Caenorhabditis elegans: one gene and its partners. The protein of the gene in region 3 purifies or fractionates together with the protein of the main gene of each other region. This does not show direct contact. Each region holds a gene or a part of one and is shown on either strand. Other genes may lie near its edges. The genes, in order: nduf-9, cox-5B, sucl-1 and cox-6A.

Evidence for each region.
Region 1: the proteins of sucl-1 (region 3) and nduf-9 fractionate together in Caenorhabditis elegans (co-fractionation; one large-scale study listed by BioGRID). This does not show direct contact.
Region 2: the proteins of sucl-1 (region 3) and cox-5B fractionate together in Caenorhabditis elegans (co-fractionation; one large-scale study listed by BioGRID). This does not show direct contact.
Region 4: the proteins of sucl-1 (region 3) and cox-6A fractionate together in Caenorhabditis elegans (co-fractionation; one large-scale study listed by BioGRID). This does not show direct contact.

Annotation. Positions count from the first base shown.
Region 1 is NC_003281.10:3,242,539-3,250,190, forward strand, and holds the start of nduf-9 (NADH dehydrogenase [ubiquinone] 1 alpha subcomplex subunit 9, mitochondrial), read right to left. Parts: upstream 6,038-7,652; 5' UTR 6,036-6,037; coding exon 5,875-6,035; intron 5,746-5,874; coding exon 5,535-5,745; intron 5,246-5,534; coding exon 5,190-5,245; intron 4,625-5,189; coding exon 4,282-4,624; intron 1,321-4,281; coding exon 1,166-1,320; intron 561-1,165; coding exon 443-560; intron 1-442. Other genes in the region: Y53G8AL.4 (Apple domain-containing protein), read right to left, coding at 6,829-7,014, 7,233-7,306.
Region 2 is NC_003279.8:9,787,081-9,790,393, reverse strand, and holds cox-5B (COX5B-domain-containing protein), read right to left. Parts: upstream 1,386-3,313; coding exon 1,200-1,385; intron 1,174-1,199; exon of another isoform or gene 904-1,173; intron 895-903; coding exon 795-894; intron 744-794; coding exon 631-743; 3' UTR 543-630; downstream 1-542. Other genes in the region: tba-1 (Tubulin alpha chain), read left to right, coding at 2,770-2,771, 3,004-3,236, 3,287-3,313.
Region 3 is NC_003284.9:14,752,307-14,756,633, reverse strand, and holds sucl-1 (Succinate--CoA ligase [ADP/GDP-forming] subunit alpha, mitochondrial), read right to left. Parts: upstream 2,609-4,327; 5' UTR 2,603-2,608; coding exon 2,557-2,602; intron 2,512-2,556; coding exon 2,423-2,511; intron 2,126-2,422; coding exon 1,748-2,125; intron 1,627-1,747; coding exon 1,455-1,626; intron 1,327-1,454; coding exon 1,106-1,326; intron 881-1,105; coding exon 818-880; 3' UTR 560-817; downstream 1-559. Other genes in the region: C05G5.5 (Metalloprotease TIKI homolog), read left to right, coding at 376-559. UniProt on the Caenorhabditis elegans protein: Succinyl-CoA synthetase functions in the citric acid cycle (TCA), coupling the hydrolysis of succinyl-CoA to the synthesis of either ATP or GTP and thus represents the only step of substrate-level phosphorylation in the TCA.
Region 4 is NC_003281.10:5,079,816-5,083,517, reverse strand, and holds cox-6A (Cytochrome c oxidase subunit 6A, mitochondrial), read right to left. Parts: upstream 1,793-3,702; 5' UTR 1,784-1,792; coding exon 1,648-1,783; intron 1,581-1,647; coding exon 1,429-1,580; intron 760-1,428; coding exon 661-759; 3' UTR 531-660; downstream 1-530. Other genes in the region: cah-1 (Putative carbonic anhydrase-like protein 1), read left to right, coding at 1-121, 169-312; alh-1 (Aldehyde dehydrogenase domain-containing protein), read right to left, coding at 3,013-3,101, 3,163-3,702. UniProt on the Caenorhabditis elegans protein: Component of the cytochrome c oxidase, the last enzyme in the mitochondrial electron transport chain which drives oxidative phosphorylation.

The DNA of each region.
Region 1 (7,652 bases), on a different chromosome or scaffold from region 3:
TTATCGATTTTTTGAAAATCAACAAAAAATCGATAATTTCCGTAAATTATCGATTTTATTCGCTAAATTTTTTTTTCAAAAAAAAAAATCAATAAAATCCATTTTTCGACTAAAAATCGATAATTTTGAAAAAATTTTCGATTTTTTTCGAATTTTTTTGATGAAAATCGGGTTGTTTCCGCCACTTCTACAAAAAAAATTCCTCAAAATTGTGCCTACGCCTACCTGATTTAACAATTCAACGGTAGGCACAAGGCAGGCGTAGGTAGGCTTTCCGAAATTTCCAATTTTTTGACTCAAAAATCAGTTTTTTTTAAGTGTTTTTCACTTAAAAAATGGATTTTTCCGTAAAAATTGCCCGATTTTTGGCGGAAAACCGATTTTTAATTAAAAAAATCTAAAATTTGAGGCGTTTTTGCTCATTTTAAGCCCTAAAACCTACCACAAACTCCATCCATTCTCTGTTGAGTGGAACTTTACACTTGAACACTTTACCATAGAGTTCGGTGGCCATTGTGAGAGCCATGAAATATGGATCCGGCATTCCGTGACGCTTGTATCTGCAAAAATTTGAGCTTTTTCTCGGGTCCCGCCACGAAAATAATTGAAAAATTCGCGATTTTTCTCGAAATTTCACGCCTGGGTCCCGCCGCCACGAAACAATACCTCGCGGGTTACTGTACTCAAGAAATTTTTTTTTTTCAACTTTTTCGTGGCGAGACCCAAAAAAAAATGTAGTTTTCACGATTTTTACGTCTAAATTTATATTTTTTAGCCAATTTTCATAAAGTTCACGTTAAAAATCATCAATTTTCAGTGAAAATATTGATTTTTTTGATTTTTTAAGGTCTCGCCACGGAATAATATCTCGCGGGTTACTGTACTCGTGAAATTTTCGTTGCGAGACCCGATTAAAGCTACAAGCCTAGAATTTTGAGGAGAATTCGAATTTTCAAAATTTCCTGATTGATGCACAACCCATGTGCCTTTAAATTTGAAAAAAATAAAGTTTTCGTGGCGAGACCCAGTTTTCACGATTTTTAAGTCCAATTTTCATGAATTTCTCGTTAAAAATTATCAATTTTCATGATTTTTTTGCCCAAAAATTAGCAATTTTCCTTCATTTTAGGCCAATTTTCGGCGGGAAAATCGAAAAACCGGGTACCTGAATCCAAAATCAGACAAACAATGCGCTTTTTTGTACATGAAATCAATCAATTCAGACAATTGATAGCAGTGTGGTCCAACAAATTCATAAGTATGTCCTTTTGCTGTTGGATCATTTACAGCACTTTGAATTCCGGCGGCAACGTCTCCAACCTGCAAGAAAATCGGAATTTTTCGCCAATTTTCTCGAAATTTTGATCAATTTCGTTGAAAACTCGGCAAAAAATGGTAAATTTTGAGCCAAAATTTGCAAATTTCTGTGAATTTTTTTTGAAATTTTACGGATTTTCACTCCTTTTAATGAAATTTCGCGCGAAAATACCGTTTTTTAATGGAATTTAACCAAAAAATTCAATATATATACTTGCCATTTTTAGCAATGTTTCAACAATTTTTTTCAAGTGAATATGGGAAATTACCGAAAATTGGAATTGATAACATTTTTAAACGATTTTTTGTATGTTTTTCGTCAAAAATCGTCAATTTTCTTCAAAATTTTCAATTTTGGACCAAATTTCAGCCATTTTTTGTCATTTTTGGCCAATTTAAACGTTTTTAAAGCTTTTTTTTTTATTTCGCTTATTTTCGCAAATTCCACCGTTTATAGGCAGTTTTAGGCCGAATTGTATGTATTTCGAGTAATTTTTTGAATTTTCAAACAAATTGGGCCTATTTTGAACAATTTTCACTCATTTTTGGCCGATTTTTCTTTTTTAAACTAAAACTAAAAACTAAAAAAGCAACCTGCAAGAAAATCGAGATTTTTTTAGTGATTTTTCGCCGATTTTCTCGAAATTTTGATCAATTTCGTTGAAAATTCGGCAAAAAATGGTAAATTTTGAGTTATTTTTACTGAAATTGTGCGAAAAATGAATTGAATTTTGGCAAAAATTCAAGGTTTTGAGTCAAAATATCCAAAATTTGGTCATTTTTCGCAATAAAATGGTGCCTACTTATGCCTACCATCAATTTTTTTTCGGCAGAAATGGACAATTTTAAGCCAAAATTTGCAAATTTCGGTGAATTTTTCTGAAAAAATCATCATTTTTGATGGAATTTAAGCAAAAATTCGAGATTTTCAGTCAAAATTTGTCATTTTTAGCAATTTTTTGACAATTTTCTGTGTGAAAATCGAAAATTTTGTTACATTTTTGAGGAGAAAACGATTTTTGCCAAAATTCTACCAATTTTCGACTAGTTTTATCAAATTTTGGGTGAAATTCCGAAAATTTTCAGTTTTGTGCCAAATTTCAGCCATTTTCAGTCATTTTTGGACAATTTAAATGGTTTTAAAGCTTTTTTTCATAAAATTTCGCAAATTCCAGCGTTTATAGGTAACTTTAAGCCTCATTTCCTTGAATTTTGAAATTTTTTTTCTCTAATTTTTAAGCAAATTAAATAAATTCCATCAATTTTTAGCGAATTTCACATATTTTGAGCAACTTTATATGAAATTTCGAGACTTTTCATAAATATTTGGACTCATTTTAATTGTATTAAAAGCCAATTTTTATGAATTTTGACATTTTTCAGTTCATTTGGATTTATTGTAATGAATTTTGAGTCATTTTTTTCAATTTCAAGCGAATTTTCATGAAATTTCGTAGATTTAGACCGATTTTCACGGATTTTCGACTTTTTATTTTTAAAATTCAGTTATTAGGTCAAATTACACCATTTTTGGCCGAGGTTTTGAGTCAAAATATGCGAAATTTGGACATTTTTTGCATTTTTTCGCAAAAAAAAAATTGTGCCTACTTTATGCCTACCGCCGCCTACCATCAATTTTTTTTCGGCAAAAATGGACAATTTTAAGCCAAAATTTGCAAATTTCGGTGAATTTTTCTGGAATTTTACCGATTTTTACATTTTGATGAAATTTAAGCAAAAATTCAAGTTTTTCAGTCAAAATTTGTCATTTTTAGCAATTTTTTGACAATTTTCTGTGTGAAAATACGATTTTTGCCGAAATTCTACCAATTTTCGACTAGTTTTATCAAATTTTATGAAATTTTGGGTGAAATTCCGAAAATTTTCAATTTTGTGCCAAATTTCAGCCATTTTCAGTCATTTTTGGCCAATTTAAATGGTTTTAAGGCTTTTTTTTCATAAAATTTCGCAAATTACAGCGTTTCTCGAATTTTGAGTAATTTTTCCGATTTTCAAACAAAAATTGGTCATATTTTGAACAATTTTCAGTAATTTTTGGCCGATTTGTTGGAATTTTTGACTTTTTAAATTTAAAATTCAATTTTTAGACGGACTTATGCCAATTTCCTTGAATTTTGAAATTTTTTTCTAATTTTTAAGCAAATTAAATAAATTCCAGCAATTTTTAGCGAATTTCACGTATTTTGAGCAACTTTATATGAAATTTCGAGACTTTTCATAAATATTTGGACTCATTTTATTTGTATTAGGCCAATTTTTATGAATTTTGACATTTTTCAGTTCATTTGGATTTATTGTAATGAATTTTGAGTCATTTTTCTCAATTTCAAGCGAATTTTCATGAAATTTCGTAGATTTAGACCGATTTTCACGGATTTTCGACTTTTTATTTTTAAAATTCAGTTATTAGGTCAAATTACACCATTTTTCTCGATTTTCATGAAATTTTCTACTTTAAAAAAAAATTTTTTTTCGTCATTTTTGGCCGATTTTCACGTATTTTAGGTCATTTTTCATGAATTTTCGCCCAATTTTCAATATTCAAACAATTTTCAGCCATTTTTGAATTTTTATTGACTAAAATTCAGTTTTTTGGTCAAATTACTTCAATTTTTTTGAATTTTAAGTAATTGTTCAGCATTTTTGGCGAATTTCACGTATTTTGAGCTTTTTTTAAAATGTATTTTATGAAATTTTGATTAATTTCGTTCAAAATTCGGTTGAAAATGGATTTTTCTATAATTTTAATCAATATTAACGGAAAATAAAATTTTTTTGACAATTTTTAATGTGAAAATCGTAAATTTTCAAAAAATCTCGGTTTTTGTGAGTTTTTCGTTAAAATATTTAATTTTGTGCCAAATTTCAGCCATTTTCAGTCATTTTCGGCCAATTTTCACGTATTTTAGGTCATTTTTCATGAATTATCGGCCAATTCCGTACCCAAATCGGCATTTTATACGTTTCTTCTCCCTTCTTGTACAAATACACATAATCCAATGGAGTTTTTCGCCATCTTGACACATAATATTGAATAAATCCATCCAATTCACCGTAGATCACAGATGGGCGAATAATTGTTGCTTCTGGGAATTCTTCACGTACAGCAACTTCTCCGAGTCCTTTTGAATGAAGAAATTGCGATTTTGCGACAAAATGTCCCTTTTGTGGTTGTGTAGTTGCTCCGAGAGCCGACAAATGCACAAATTTCTCCACACCCATTTCTTTGCAAATTCGAGCCAAACGGCGGGCTCCCGTGTCGTTGACGTCATAGTAATTGTACTTTCTGCAAGGAAAAATGGCTTAAAATTGGGATTTTTAGAAGGAAAAAGTGGGGAAATTTGAATTTTTCAATAGAAAATGGCAGTTTTCTCGAAAATTTTGGAGAAAAATTGAGCAATTTAGTTTTTTTTGAATTTTTTAAAAATATTTTTTGAATTTTCAGTGAAAAAAACGGCGCGAAACTCAAAATTTTGAAGATTTTTCGGACATTTTTCAAATTTTTAGCCAAAAAGTGGAGCCAAATTCAAAATTTAAGGGGATTTTTCAATTTTTAATTGATTTTCAGTTGGAAAAAGTGAGGAATTTTGAGTTTTTCAATGAAAAAACTGGAAAAAAAGAGCTTTTTTTTTGAATTTTGAATGATAATTTGGTGTAAAAAAATTTATTTTTTGAATTTTCAGTAGGAAAAAAGGGTTAAATTCCACATTTTGAAGGTTTTTCAGGCATTTTTTCGAATTTTCAGCGAAAAAGAGTGATTTATTTGGTCAAAAACGGCGCGAAATTTGAATTTTTTGAATTTCCGGCATATTTTGTGAATTTTTCCGCTCAAAAATCTGCAATTTCCTCACCCAGTCGGCACACGAGTTCCGATCAAGTTGATGACGACGTTCGAGTACTTTACAGCCTGAAAAATTGATTTTTTCTGGATTTTCTAGAGAAAAATCCAATTTTTCTCGATTTTCACCTAGAAAACTCTTTTTTTTTCGGAATTTTCTAGAGAAAAAACCTAATTTTTCTCGATTTTCACTGAGAAAACTCTATTTTTTCTGAATTTTCTAAAGAAAAACCCATTTTTTCTCGATTTTCACTGAGAAAACTCTATTTTTTCTGGATTTTCTAGAGAAAAATCCAATTTTTCTCGATTTTCACCTAGAAAACTCGATTTTTCTCTCAATTTCCACGAATTTTAATACCTTTCGAATGCTCTCCTCATCCATCAGCTCAAATGGAAAATAGAGGACTTGTCCGAGCTCGCCGAGCACTTTGTGCTCTCTCATGTAATACGGATCCTGGCGATACGGAATAATGATTTGTGAGCCATTTTTCGCGAATTTATTGACAACTGGAAGTCCCAAGAAGCCTGACGCACCGAATACGGTCACCACATTGCCGGAGAAGGAGGCTCTGCAAAAATTTGGAATTTTTAACGATTTTTTTTGGGAAAAAATTGATTTTTTTTCAATGTTTTTTCAATTTTTCCTAGATTTTTTCCACATTTTCCAGTTTCAAATCATTCTTAGGCTTTTCCTGTACCTTCCACCGGCTCCCTTTCTGAATTGAGCACTCTGAGAGCTGACACGTGGCTCCGGATGAGCATTTTCGGCGGAGGTGACCGCGCTGCTGAAATTCTGACTTCCAACGACCGAAACCGCCTGCCGGGCGCCCAAGCCGGATCTACCCAACACTGATAGCATGGCTGAAATTAGGAAAATCGAGATTTGCAATTGTTTAAAGATTTTTAAAGATTTTTAAAGACTTTTTAAGAATTAAATGGGTTTTCTGCGTTTTTTCGGGATTTTTTCCAGCTAAAAATAGCTTTTCCGGTCGAAAAAATCGATTTTTTATCAAAAAAGCACCGAAAATAGCGAAAAAATCTGGAAAAACCGCTAAAAATGGCTGAAAATGAAGTACGCGGTGCCGAAATAAATAATTTGGCCTGTACGCAATATGGCGTCGGGTTTGACGTTTGCGGACTCGAATGCGCACTTGGAAGGGCGGGGATTGATGACCGTACTCCAAGGAGGAATGAGAAGCTTTGAAATTAGCAAAAATTGGTGAGAAAGGCGGTTTTAAAGAGAGTTTTCAATCTAAATTGTTGAAAAATTAATGAAATATTACTTTTCTTGTTTTACATTCAAGAAAAATTATTAAAATCTTTGAATTAAATAGAAATGCGAAGTTTTCAAGGGATTTCTTCAAAATGTGCGAAATTACAGAAGAATACTGGTAGATTAAACTGAAAATGACATCAAAATTCTCAATTATTAATATTATACGCTATCGAGATAATAAGCATTTATGGCTACAATGTATACGCCTCTCAAAATTACGTTCACATTGCTTTGTGGCTTTGCTGGTAACTCTTTTGCCTTTCACGCAACACACCGGGGTTCGACTCCGCACTGTGGTTCTTTTCTTTTTTTTTCTCGATTTAACCAATTTTAGTCAATTAAAATTCAAATTTAACGATTAAAACCAATTTATTTATCACGTGGAACCCAGAAAAGGAGAAAATTTCGGCCTAAAAAAGTTGAGACACTTGTTAAACGCCGGATTCCTGAAGCAATTCGAGCTGCACTCGGCGGCTAGATTCGGCTGGTCGACTGAAAACATTTCATGGCAAAGTAGGCATATTCTCGTGAGCACTTCGTTTAGAGCCGGTCGTCGGTAAGCCTGGAAATCAAAAAATATTCCGAATTCTTGAAAAAATGCGGAAAAAATCGGCGAAAAACTAGGGTTTTGAATGATTTTTCTCAAATTTTTCAATTTTTTTCAGCGAAATATCGAATAAAAATCGATATATCTCCAGAAACCCCCGAGATTTCCACCATTTAAGCAAAATTCTCAATGGAGCGCGTTTGCAGCTTCGTTGTTCGCTAGAGCGCACTTACTTTGCAGTTCCTCGAATGGTGGTCGGGGCGGGAAAATGAAAATCCGGCAAACGTGACGATAAGTAAGAAGAATACTGGAAAAATCAATGGAATTGTTTAGGCCACAGTGGTTTTTTGGCAGATATTTAGAGTTTTAAAAAATAATTTTCACAGAAACGTTGGCCGAAAGTTAATTTCCAGCGGCGAAATCGCGGAAAAATGGAGCTTTTCGAAGAAAAATTTCGTGGCCTATTTTTTCAGCTGGTTTTTCTTGGCCACGTCTTAAAATTTGAAAAAATTTGATTAAAAAGCAAATTAAGCACGTTTTTCAAAATTAAAAGTGAAGACATAACGCGTTTCTCGAAAAATTTGCAATTTTCTAGAAAAATGCTGCGTGGCCTAACTTTTCCGGTTATTTTTCTAGGCCACGTCTGAAAATTA
Region 2 (3,313 bases), on a different chromosome or scaffold from region 3:
ATAGTACGGAAACTTGTTTTACGTAACTAGCGTCATGTTTTTAAATGATAAAATGAAAAAGGAAGTCACTAATGGTTCGAAAATTGGAAATGTTTTGAAGAAGTGAGTTATTACTTTTTGATGTAATGCTCAAGCCTGGGCTCTAAATGTATAAATTCGATCTACGACAACACGAAAGCTTAAAATTGTTGAAATGAAGGCAAACAATTGCCAATTTAAAAACAAAATTGTATGTGCTAGTGACAGCACGTGATTTTGAAAACCAATAACAAAATGAGAGGAGCGAGGCATCTGAACTCAGATTTTTATCAGCTAGATTCTGTGGAGGTTGACGGGAGAAACAGCATCATTGATTGTTGTTTCCACCTGTTTTGTTCATTTTTAACATTAACCACCTAATCCAGGAGATTGTCAGGGAAAACCTACGAAGAACATTTTTTCATGTAAGAAATGTAGGTTAAATTGATAAAAAATTAATTTACAGAAATAGGAGACATCTTGACGAAAAACAAAGAAACGAATTGAACCAACTCTAGAAACAGAATGGTTTGTCTTCAAACCAGCGCGTTTTATTTTCACTGATGGAGCGATCTAAAATAAGTCGGAACAATAATCTACATTGAAAATTGTTTAGATGGATTCTGGGTCGGCGTCGACTCCCTTGAACCAGTGTCCGCACTCGCATCTCTTTGGATCTCCTTTGCGAATTGTCATGAAATTGACATGTCCGGAATCTTGCTCACCTGAAAAATAGTTGTTTAATTGAATCAATCATGCTTTTAAATATAACTTACACATGCATCCAATGATTCTGAAGTCGTAGTGAGATGGGACCAAATTTGGCTTCTGCTTGGTGGAAGCCTCAGCGCGATAGTAGACTTTTGGCTCGTAACGCTGAAGAATGAAACTTTTATTATTTAACTTTGAAAAGATGAAGAAATAGTAGATAATTTGCCACTTTTACTAAATGGGTTTCATTTTGTAAACACTTTCTCATTAAAAACCAGTATTAGATACGATAACGACTCAAATTGCAAATCTCCCTCAGATCAGCTTCGACAAAGTTCGTTCAATACGACTCACACTTCAAGACAAAATCTCGAGAGCGAAGTAGCTCACAATTAGCTAAATTGATACATCATGGGGTATACTTTGGAAATTATTGGGAAAATTGTTAAATTTTATTAACAAAAACTCACATCATCTCCAGCAAGACGAGCGAGAAGCATCTTCTTTTCACGTCCGGTAGCGTGCTCAAGTGGATCTGGGTAGTATCCGTAGTCTTCTGGCGAGGCTTCAGTGGCCAAAGTACGACGGGCCACGGCAGCTGGAGCGACGAGCTTCTTCGAAAGGGCGGCAACAGCCGTCTTAGCAAGTTGAGCCATCTGAAAAATACAATTGTATTTCTCAAGTATCAAAAACGACTAAATATAAATTCGATTTCGAATGAAGAAAATTATCGATCGGGAGTCTAAAAATCAAAAAAGGAAGGTGGCCTTATTGAAATAGGGTTAAATTAAAAGATAAACCTCTTGAAAAATCAGAAATTTTTTGAAGAACACTTATATTCTGATTGGACCCTTGAAAATGCGAACAATAGCCGAAAAGAGCCAAAAACGCTTGGCACGATTTACGGAGCCTCAGTGGCGGGCGTACACTCGGCGTACACTCGGCATACACTACGCGCGTCTGTTGCAACGCACAAGACGCTCCTCAATACGAAACACCGTAATGCGAAGAGGATTTGAATTCGTTTCGTCCACTAGGCGCGCTCGGGAGAAATTTTCACTTTTTTTGGCGCGAAACAGACGACAATAGGATTGGGAGATGGCTGTCATTCTTTCTCATTTTTCGCTTCTCAATCGCTCGTATTCTCTCTCTTCGATTTGCTCCTAAAATGGAGTTGTTTGAAAGTTGACTCGTTGTCTACACATGCTGTAAATATTGAGCCACATTTTATTGTTTGTTAACAAATTTTCTTGATTATATTGCAACTTGTGTGTTCAATAGAATCTTTAGTTTTAGGGAATTCGTTTCTCCAGCGGCTAATAAAATCATTATAGATTTGCATTTCGGCTTCTACTTTAGTTACGTGCTATTGCTTGTGATGTTTTTAATTTTTATTTATTTTATCATAGCTTATTTACTGAAACTTAAACTTCGTTTTATTATTTTTTGCATTGAAATCTGAATCGTCCCGATGAATATTTGCATTTTCATGAATAGGACATCCAAGCGTCTATATCATGAACATCGGATTAAGGTTTAGTGGAGAACCTATTTCGCAATATACACCAGATGGCCACTACTAGTCATGTCCACCGAGGAATAGGGTCGCCGCTGTCCTTGGCCAATCGGACAAGCGTCGCTCGTTCCTCTCTCTGACCCGGCACTGCCTCTCTGACCAGTTTCATCCAAGTGACAGATGTCTAGAGCAAGGCAGAAAAGATTGTCGTCTTTAGTCTTCCAATTTGAGTTGTTTTACCCTTTCCTCGCACCAGAATATCTAATGACGAAGAGCTCTGTTTTCTTTCCCAGCCCGACTTTCATTTCTCATTTGACTAGATGCATAGAACCCAATAGGGTTTGACTGCTGTGTATGTACCACGATGCAATGGGCGTAATTGCTCTCTGTTTTCAACGGTCCGAGTCTTTTTCGCTATTTCGCAATACTCTTGAGAGCTAGCATTTCATATGTATGCAATTGGGTTTGTTTCATTTGGAGGCTCATAAATTTTATATCCCAAACCTTCTCCATCTCGTTAACTAATGTAAGTTCCTGGTTTTGTTTTTATTTACTTGTTGTAAACCTTGTACCAAGTTTATATCTGGTTTATTGCCCTGAAAACTATTCAGCCGGAATTGTCAACAGGATTATTTATAATTGAGTTGACCTTGTTTCCTAGTTGATCGACTCCTATGATTTTATCATTCGTACTTTACGCCATATGTTATCCGCGTTCATTTATGATTTCATTTCTTCTAATTTCCGTTAATTTTCAGGTTCGTTTTCAACATGCGTGAGGTCATCTCCATCCACGTCGGACAAGCCGGAGTCCAAATCGGTAATGCTTGCTGGGAGCTCTACTGTCTCGAGCATGGAATCCAGCCCGATGGAACTATGCCATCAGACCAACAAGCCGATGGAGAATCTTTCACCACCTTCTTCTCCGATACTGGAAACGGAAGATATGTTCCAAGATCGATTTTTGTAGATCTTGAGCCAACTGTTGTTGGTAAGCAATAATAAAAACCGTTTCAAATTCAAATTTGTTTTTTTTTTCAGATGAGATCCGCACTGGAACCTACAAGA
Region 3 (4,327 bases):
AAATTGGTTTAACAGTTTTTCAAAGTTGAAGGAAGAAAGCTCTTAGTAACTCAGTAGGTACCTAGGTAAAGCCTTACATTTTTTCTATAGGAATCAGAATTTAAACAAGGGAAGAAACTATATAAAAGATACATAGGTCCAGTTGCTAAAATTTTTTAATGCAGCAGAAAAAATCGGTTTGATTAAATTTTGATTTTCTAAAATTTGGTAAATTAGTGTTTCAATAATGTTTTGAAAGATGATCGCGGTTTATGGGCATCGTGATCAGACGATTTACCAAACTTGAAAACCGCATGCGAATGAAACTTTACGGCGTTTGGAAATCATATCTAACCCACCGACATTCTTCTTGATTCTTGATCTGCAAATTTTCAGTCAACCCCTACGATCTCCCTACCGTCAAACCGCAAAGTTCAAACGTGTATGGACCAAGGAAACCGCAGTTCGTCGAAAATCAATAATCATCGAAGAAGTAGCACCATCGTCCAGTCGAATTGCTAGATTATGGCTAGTTCCGTGTATTTTTCTTTTACATTCCATCTTTGCCATTTTCCCATGAACAACTTTCAACTTTCAATCAATTGGTTTGCGACAACTGCAATTTTTCCATTTTATCGGAAAAATTCAGCCACACAGTTATCTAGAGGCAAACATATTAAAAAATTAGAGAAAAAGAGACAAGAAAGAGAGAAAAAAGAGAGAAGTCATAGAAATATTGAAATTAAAAACGCAAGATCACTAAAAAGTGTGTAAGCTATTTTCTTACAGAAAAGGGGGAGGGAGACAAGTTGAGTATTAAATCAGCGAGGGTTCCTGTTTAGATCTTTCCCAGGAAAGCGGTGGCCATGGAGGTTCCAAGTTTAGCTGGAGAGTCGGTAACCTGAAACAAATTATGGCATTTTTTTAGCAACCAAGTTTAATTTTTCAAAATATCTTTAAAAACCTGCTGACTTTTCAAGTTAAATTCTAAGGTAAATCGTCATGAACAAGGTGTAACTTCATAAATGTTCTAGATTATTTTGACAACTTTTGCAACAGAACACTGTATATCCCAAGCTTCAAAGTGCAGCTTTAAATTTTATTCTGGAAAAACGTAAAAACTTACTACTACTCCGGCTTCTCTAAGAGCATTGATCTTGTCAGCAGCGGTTCCCTTTCCTCCCGAAATGATGGCTCCGGCGTGTCCCATTCTTCTGCCTGGTGGAGCTGTGACTCCGGCAATGAATGAGACGACTGGCTTCCTGTTGGCTCCCGAGTTGTGCTCCTTAAGGTATGCGGCGGCCTCCTCTTCAGCTGATCCTCCGATTTCTCCGATGAGAATGATTCCTGGAAAATAATTGGTTTCATATTCTTTTTTTTTTTAATTTTTACTGGCTACTCTGGGTACTGATAAATACAAAATCACATTGTTTGAGTTCACATTAGGGTATTATTTTCATGAAACATGAGCTCACCCTTAGTTTCTGGATCCTCAAGGAAGACGTTCAAGCAGTCGATGAAGTTTGTTCCATTGAATGGATCGCCTCCAATTCCGACGCACAAAGTCTGTCCGAATCCGACTTGAGTAGTCTGGTGCACAGCTTCATAGGTGAGAGTTCCTGAGCGGGAGACGATTCCGATGCATCCCTACAAGTTCAGCAAACAGTTTTGATAAAATTTTTAATTGATAATTTCTGAACATGTTTTCGAAGTTCAACTTCACTTGAGAAGGATTTTAAAGGGTTCTACAACAATATTTATAACTTACTCTCTTGTGAATGTGTCCTGGCATGATTCCGATCTTGCACTGATCGGCCGAGATGATTCCTGGACAGTTTGGCCCAACAAGTCTTGTCTTGTTCTGCTTGAGAAGACGCGACTTAACACGGACCATATCGTGTTGTGGGATTCCTTCAGTGATGCACACCACCAATGGAATCTCGGCGTCCATGGCTTCCTCGATGGCGCTACCGGCAGCACTGGCTGGAACGTAGATGACAGAGGCGTCGGCTCCGGTCTTGTTGCGAGCTTCGGAGACGTTCTTGAAGACCGGGAGTCCCAAGTGCTCTGTTCCGGCCTTGTTGGCATTTACTCCACCGACGACTTTAGTGTTGTACTCGAGCATTTGCTTTCCATGGAAGGTACCCTGAAATTTTTGTGAATTTTTTTTTTGAAATACATATTTTCGATATTTTAAGAGTTCGCTATGCGCAAAGTATTGACGTCAAAAGCATATCTGAATACATTAAAATTTTATAGCCGTTGAACTTTGAAAACACTGAATTTAAAGTGAGTTGCGAAGACAGGCGTTTTCATTTTAAGATGTAATTTTTTATGAAGCTGAGTTGTGACCTCTATTTTGCATAAAGCGTATTGTCAGTGTTTGAGTTTATATTATCGCTCCAGAAGCTCCCACGCCATTCATAAATTTATTCGGGTATACCTGCTTTCCTGTGAATCCTTGCACAATAACCTTGGTGTCCTTGTTGATTTTCAGGTTGTTGTAAGTGCTGTTGTAGAAACGAGCAGCTCCTGGAAATACAAATAAGGTGATTTAAATGAAATAGGCAAACATACCCTTCTGCAAAGTTCTAGCATTGTTGGCAATTTGCTGACTCAACATGGTTCCCTGAAAGAAAGATATTATTCAATTGCCGTAAAATTTAAGATGAACGGTGCAATCGAGAAGATGCAATGAAAATGTGAAAAGCTTATTTTCAATAAAAAAAGATAGATTAAAGTAGTTGTATCATCAAAAATAAGATTTATCAAAAACAAAAATAAAACCAACAAAAAAAATAGATTCCTTGATATCTAAACAACTAACTCTTGTGTTACACAAAACAAAAGGGTAGAGAGTGAGTATCGCGTGAGAGGCAGCAGAGAAAACAAGGACGTACGCAGCCAATTGGTTGGCTGAGTATCAAACGATTAGACACTGCCCAACGCTGCCCCGTCCGTTCTCGCTCTCTTCCAACGTGCCTGCACACGTTGTGCGGCGGCCGGGAGAGTGTGAGTGGTGCGGTTGCACAAGTTGGAAACCAAGTCGGCGAAAGACAATCGAGTAGTTTTTTTTTTGGCAGTTATCACAGTGGATGAGGAAGTGGACATTTGAGAAAAGTGTTTGGGGCAAGTGGACTTTTAATTATCATTATTTATAGAAATTTGTGGAGTGCGAAGTGGTCCCTCATTTTATGAAATTTTTTTCAGTATAACTACAAAAATTAATTGATCACTCTTTGTCCAGGGAAGGAATTCACTGTTAAATCACAGACAAAACCAAATCACAGCTTTGAATCTGTAATCAATTTTAGAAATCAACATTGGTTTTCCAGCTTCATTTTTCTATTGCTGTAGTAGTCTCAAGACAGACCGACTTAGTTACATAGTGACCGTTCTCGTAATTATTTAAAACAATCTAAGGGCGTTTGAAGTTGAATATCTCTGGTCCAACCGTTTACCAAACTGTCAATATTTATTGCATACTTTTGTTGCTTCAAAATTGATAAACATATATTTTTAGTCTATAAGTTCACTCATTTATTAAAATACGCTAGTCAATAAGAACATGTGGAATTAACTACTTGTTTACACAGTCTTAAAAATACTGAGAATTCAAAAATTAAAAAAAAACAACATTTTTGAATACCTATGGAGAAGCCGTACCCCAAAAATTTTAATCATTTCAAAAAATTCAGATGTGGTTTTATAAGCCTACGACTTCAATTTAACCTCAAATTTTAATAAATTACAATTTGAATTAGAAATAAGTTGGACATTAATTTTTTAGGTATGCTTGGTCTTAAAATATTAACTTTAAAAATAACGATTCAAATATTCAAATCTTTTTTGTCTGATATCAAAAAAAACCTGTTAACTAACTGAAAAAATTAGGTAGCTTGTTAGAAAAAAAAGAAAACTGTTCTTCGGTTTTCGTTTCTGCAAAATGATAAAAATTGAGTAATCAACTTTCTCGAACATTTTATCTATCAATGATCAAATACGAACTTCAACAATAGTTTTCAAATTACAAAAAAAATATGCATAGAGAAAAGGGAATATCTAAAACTAACATTTCTGTCAGCAAAATTGACTTTATTTTTATTTTTCTATCACCCAATCATTCGTTTCACGTGCGCACAATCGCTCTTGGAGATTATGCTCAAAGCTTACAAATAATTTATAGTTTTCCCTCCTCTCAACGGTTTGGTCAACTTTCTTGAAAGTTGTCTCGTGTCTTGCAGTGAAAACGTTTTTTTTCCAGTTTTTCGCTGTTTTTTTTTCTCCCGTCGTCCTCTCGTCTTCTTCTTTCCCAGCAATTTATTGATTTGTGGCGGTGGTGTGCTCC
Region 4 (3,702 bases), on a different chromosome or scaffold from region 3:
GCGACTTCTTCCATTCACTAGAGATATTATCACTTATGAAGGATCTCTCACTTCTCCTGGATGCCATGAGACTGTCACTTGGATTATTCTGAATCAACCTATTTTTATCAAAAAGGAGCATGTAAGTTTTTTAATAGTCTATAAAAAACTTTGATTCTAAATTTACAGTTCGAGGAGTGGTCACACTTATATCTGAGCATGGAAGGCGCCGAGAAAGTCCCCGTTGCCCCAAATTTCAGGAAAATTCAAGAAACTAACAATCGACTAGTAAGAACAAATATTCAGCACAAGGTTTGGATATTTCTTTCATAAAAATATCTGAAGAAAATTATTTGAATTCCAGATGAGCTACAATTGCAATGTCTCAGTGAATAAAATCCACTATCGTGCAAATCATTTGCCACTGCCAAAACAACAGCATTCTTCTCGTCGCCACAATAATCCATTTGTCTGAAAAGAAAACTCCCGACTTTGCTCAAAGATTTCTCACGAATATTTTTCAAATTGTTCTTGTTTTGCAATAATTTTTTCGACTTTTTATACAATTCTGAAACTACACTTGCGCAAAACATGTCTCGTTTTGTTAAACTAAACAACTCGAAGCACACACACAAATGGATGACGTTAAATATGATGATTAATTGTATCGTCCAGCATTGTTTAGTGCTTCTCACGGTCAGCCTCGAATCCAACTCCTGGAACAAATTGCTCCGCCTTGTTGTGGAACAATGAGTGATTTCCATCGGACCATGGGAATGGCTGAAATTGAATATTTATTAGGAATGCATTTTCAGAATGGATTGATTGATTTTCAAGAAAAAAATGTTGGCGATTCTAAATTGCAAAAAAGTAGGAAAGTTTTTGCTAAAATCTTTAATTTTGTCAACTTTTCTGTGTTGCAAACGTCGGAAATGAGTATTTATTTTATTATCATCCTTTTTTCATGTTTTGGTTGTTAATTTTACGTTATTCCGTCGATTTAGGTCAATTTTAGTCTGATAGACCAAAACAATAATTCAATAAAACTGTATTCCAGCAGCTGCAACTAGAACATGTTGGCTAAATTGGAGATTTAGCTAAAATTTTTCTTACTCTTTTTTTGAAATTTTTAACCATCTTGGGAATTTATTGAGACCAATCGTTTTTTTTAATTACTGAGAAAACGCCAAATTATAAAATTGTATAATCATTTAAAAGCTTGATTGTAGAAATTAAAATTCCAAAAAAGCGACTGTTTTTTTTTTAATTCGTTTTGAATATTATTAAACTTCACAGTCATCCTTTTTAGTTTGAAAAATGCCAGAAAGATGACATTTTTAAACAGTTTGCCGATAACTTCTTTAATGAGGAAGACATGAAAGCTAAATAACATTTTTTAAGTAAAATTTTAAACTATGGCAGATTTCAAGATAAAAACGAATATTTTACCTTGTTGCGAACGTTCAAGAAGGCGTACTCGACGTGCTCTGGGCGTTCGTGGCTCATGTGTTTTTTGTGATCCTTGAAGGCGGCATACATGGTAAGAGCCAAGCATGGAATCGAAGCAATGAAGAAGATTTTCTTCCAGGTCTCGCTAGCATCTGAAAAATATATTTTAATCTTTGAACATCAAAATAGAAACTATTTATTTTAAAAAAAAACACTTACTGTGAGCTTGCTTGAGTGGAGTGACATATGACTCTTTGAATCCTTCGACATTGTTGGATCCGTAAAATGATCCTGAGGATTTGCGTTGGAAGGTCTTGACGACCGAGCGGGTAGCTGGTTGAGCGAGACGGTTCATGTCGGATACCTTTAAAATTTGAAATGAAGTTGAGATTTGTGAGAAAAACGGAACGCGGGGGGAGAAGGAGGGGGAACAAACTTGTTTACGTGAAAATTGAGAAAAAAAGAGAAAAATCAGGTGATTTGATGAAAAAGTACAAAATTGTGATTTTTAAATCAGAAAAAGCAATAAAACAAACTCACAAAATAAAAACAAATGAGGTTTTTCTTACGTCTTAAGAAACCTAATAATTGCTATGAAGAATTTTAGAAATTTAAACCCGACAATAATGATTGAATGACATGGTTGAACACTTGCAGATTTGAATTCGAAAAAGTGGAATTTCTAGTCGAACAATATCGATTTACGGCTGCGGTTTATATGCTATTGTGGTTAAAAAATTCATAATTTGTAATTTAATCATTTGAAACTCAAAAATAATCAATAAAAGCACTGTTTGTGAAGTAAAACCACAGAAACGCACGTTTCCTCAAGAGAAAATAACGGAGAGGCCGTCTTCGCTGCGAGACCAGCCGGTGAAATGGCGTGCGCCTTTAAGGTGTGTGAAATAATTGTGCTGCAACATGCTGTCTAATTTGCCTATTATCTCCGTTAGAAATGCTTCAAATTTTCTGAAACTTTGTTACCTGTTAAAACATGACATGTAGAACGAACACATAAAAAATTATTAATATCGATTCATTGGCTAAAAAGTTATTGACGGAAATAAGTATCAAGTTTTGGTTCGATTCTTGCCCTTTTTGAGTTGCTTGACGGAGAATTGCGGAACCCACGAGATGTCTGCCGCCTTGCAGGTGGCCACTATATAAGCAACAACTGGTCCTGGCTGTCTCGTTCTTCCGAGAACATATACTAAAATTGGAACAATACAGAGAAGATTAGCATGGCCCCTGCGCAAGGATGACACGCAAATTCGTGAAGCGTTCCAAATTTTTTTTAAAATTTCGCGTAACCTACCGGAAGCTCGTAAAATTTTTGCCTTTTGAAGATTTTACGACTGATCCTCTAATGTACAGAGTAATAATTCGTTTGTCCTGAATCAATCAATTCACAAAGAAGTCGAGACTTTTATGAGTCGTCCTGTAGGTGTCTATTTCTTTCAGAATTCTTTTTCAATATATGTGAAAAATAGATAAATACAACACGTATATTAAGAGCAATAAACATTTTTCAAAAAAAAAAGCAAAAGGAACAAAAATTACAGGGAAAGCGAAAATTCAAGAAATTTATGAGTTCTTCTGTGGAACCTTGATGGTGACAGTCTTTACTTCAGTGTATGCCTCAAGACCATATTCTCCGAGTTCGCGACCGATTCCTAAAAGAAAAAGTATTTTTTAACTTTGGCATGGAGAAATTTTAATAATAAATTAGCTTACCGGACTGCTTGAATCCTCCGAATGGAGCAGCAGCATCGAACACATCGTAACAATTAACCCAGACAGATCCAGCTCTGGTTGCGTTGGCAATATGAAGTGCCTTATCAATATCCTTAGTCATAACTCCAGCAGCCAATCCATAAATAGTGTTATTAGCCTTTTCAACTAATTCTTCCATTGTGTCGAATCTAATGATAGTCATAACAGGTCCAAAGATTTCTTCTTGAGCAATAGTCATCTGATCCTTAACATTAGCGAAGATAGTTGGCTTCACAAAGTGTCCTTGATCTCCGTGTTTGGCTCCTCCAGTCACCAATTGAGCTCCATCCTTCTTTCCAGCAGCGATATATTTTAAAATAGTCTCAACCTGCTTTCCGTCAACTTGTGGTCCTTGAGTAGTTTTCAAATCAAATGGATCTCCGATAACAGCCTTCTCGGCCAATTCCTTGGAACGAGCTACGAAATCATCATAGATCTTTCCTTCGACAAATGTTCTGGATCCGGCACAACAGCACTGTCCTTGATTGAAGAAGAGTCCGT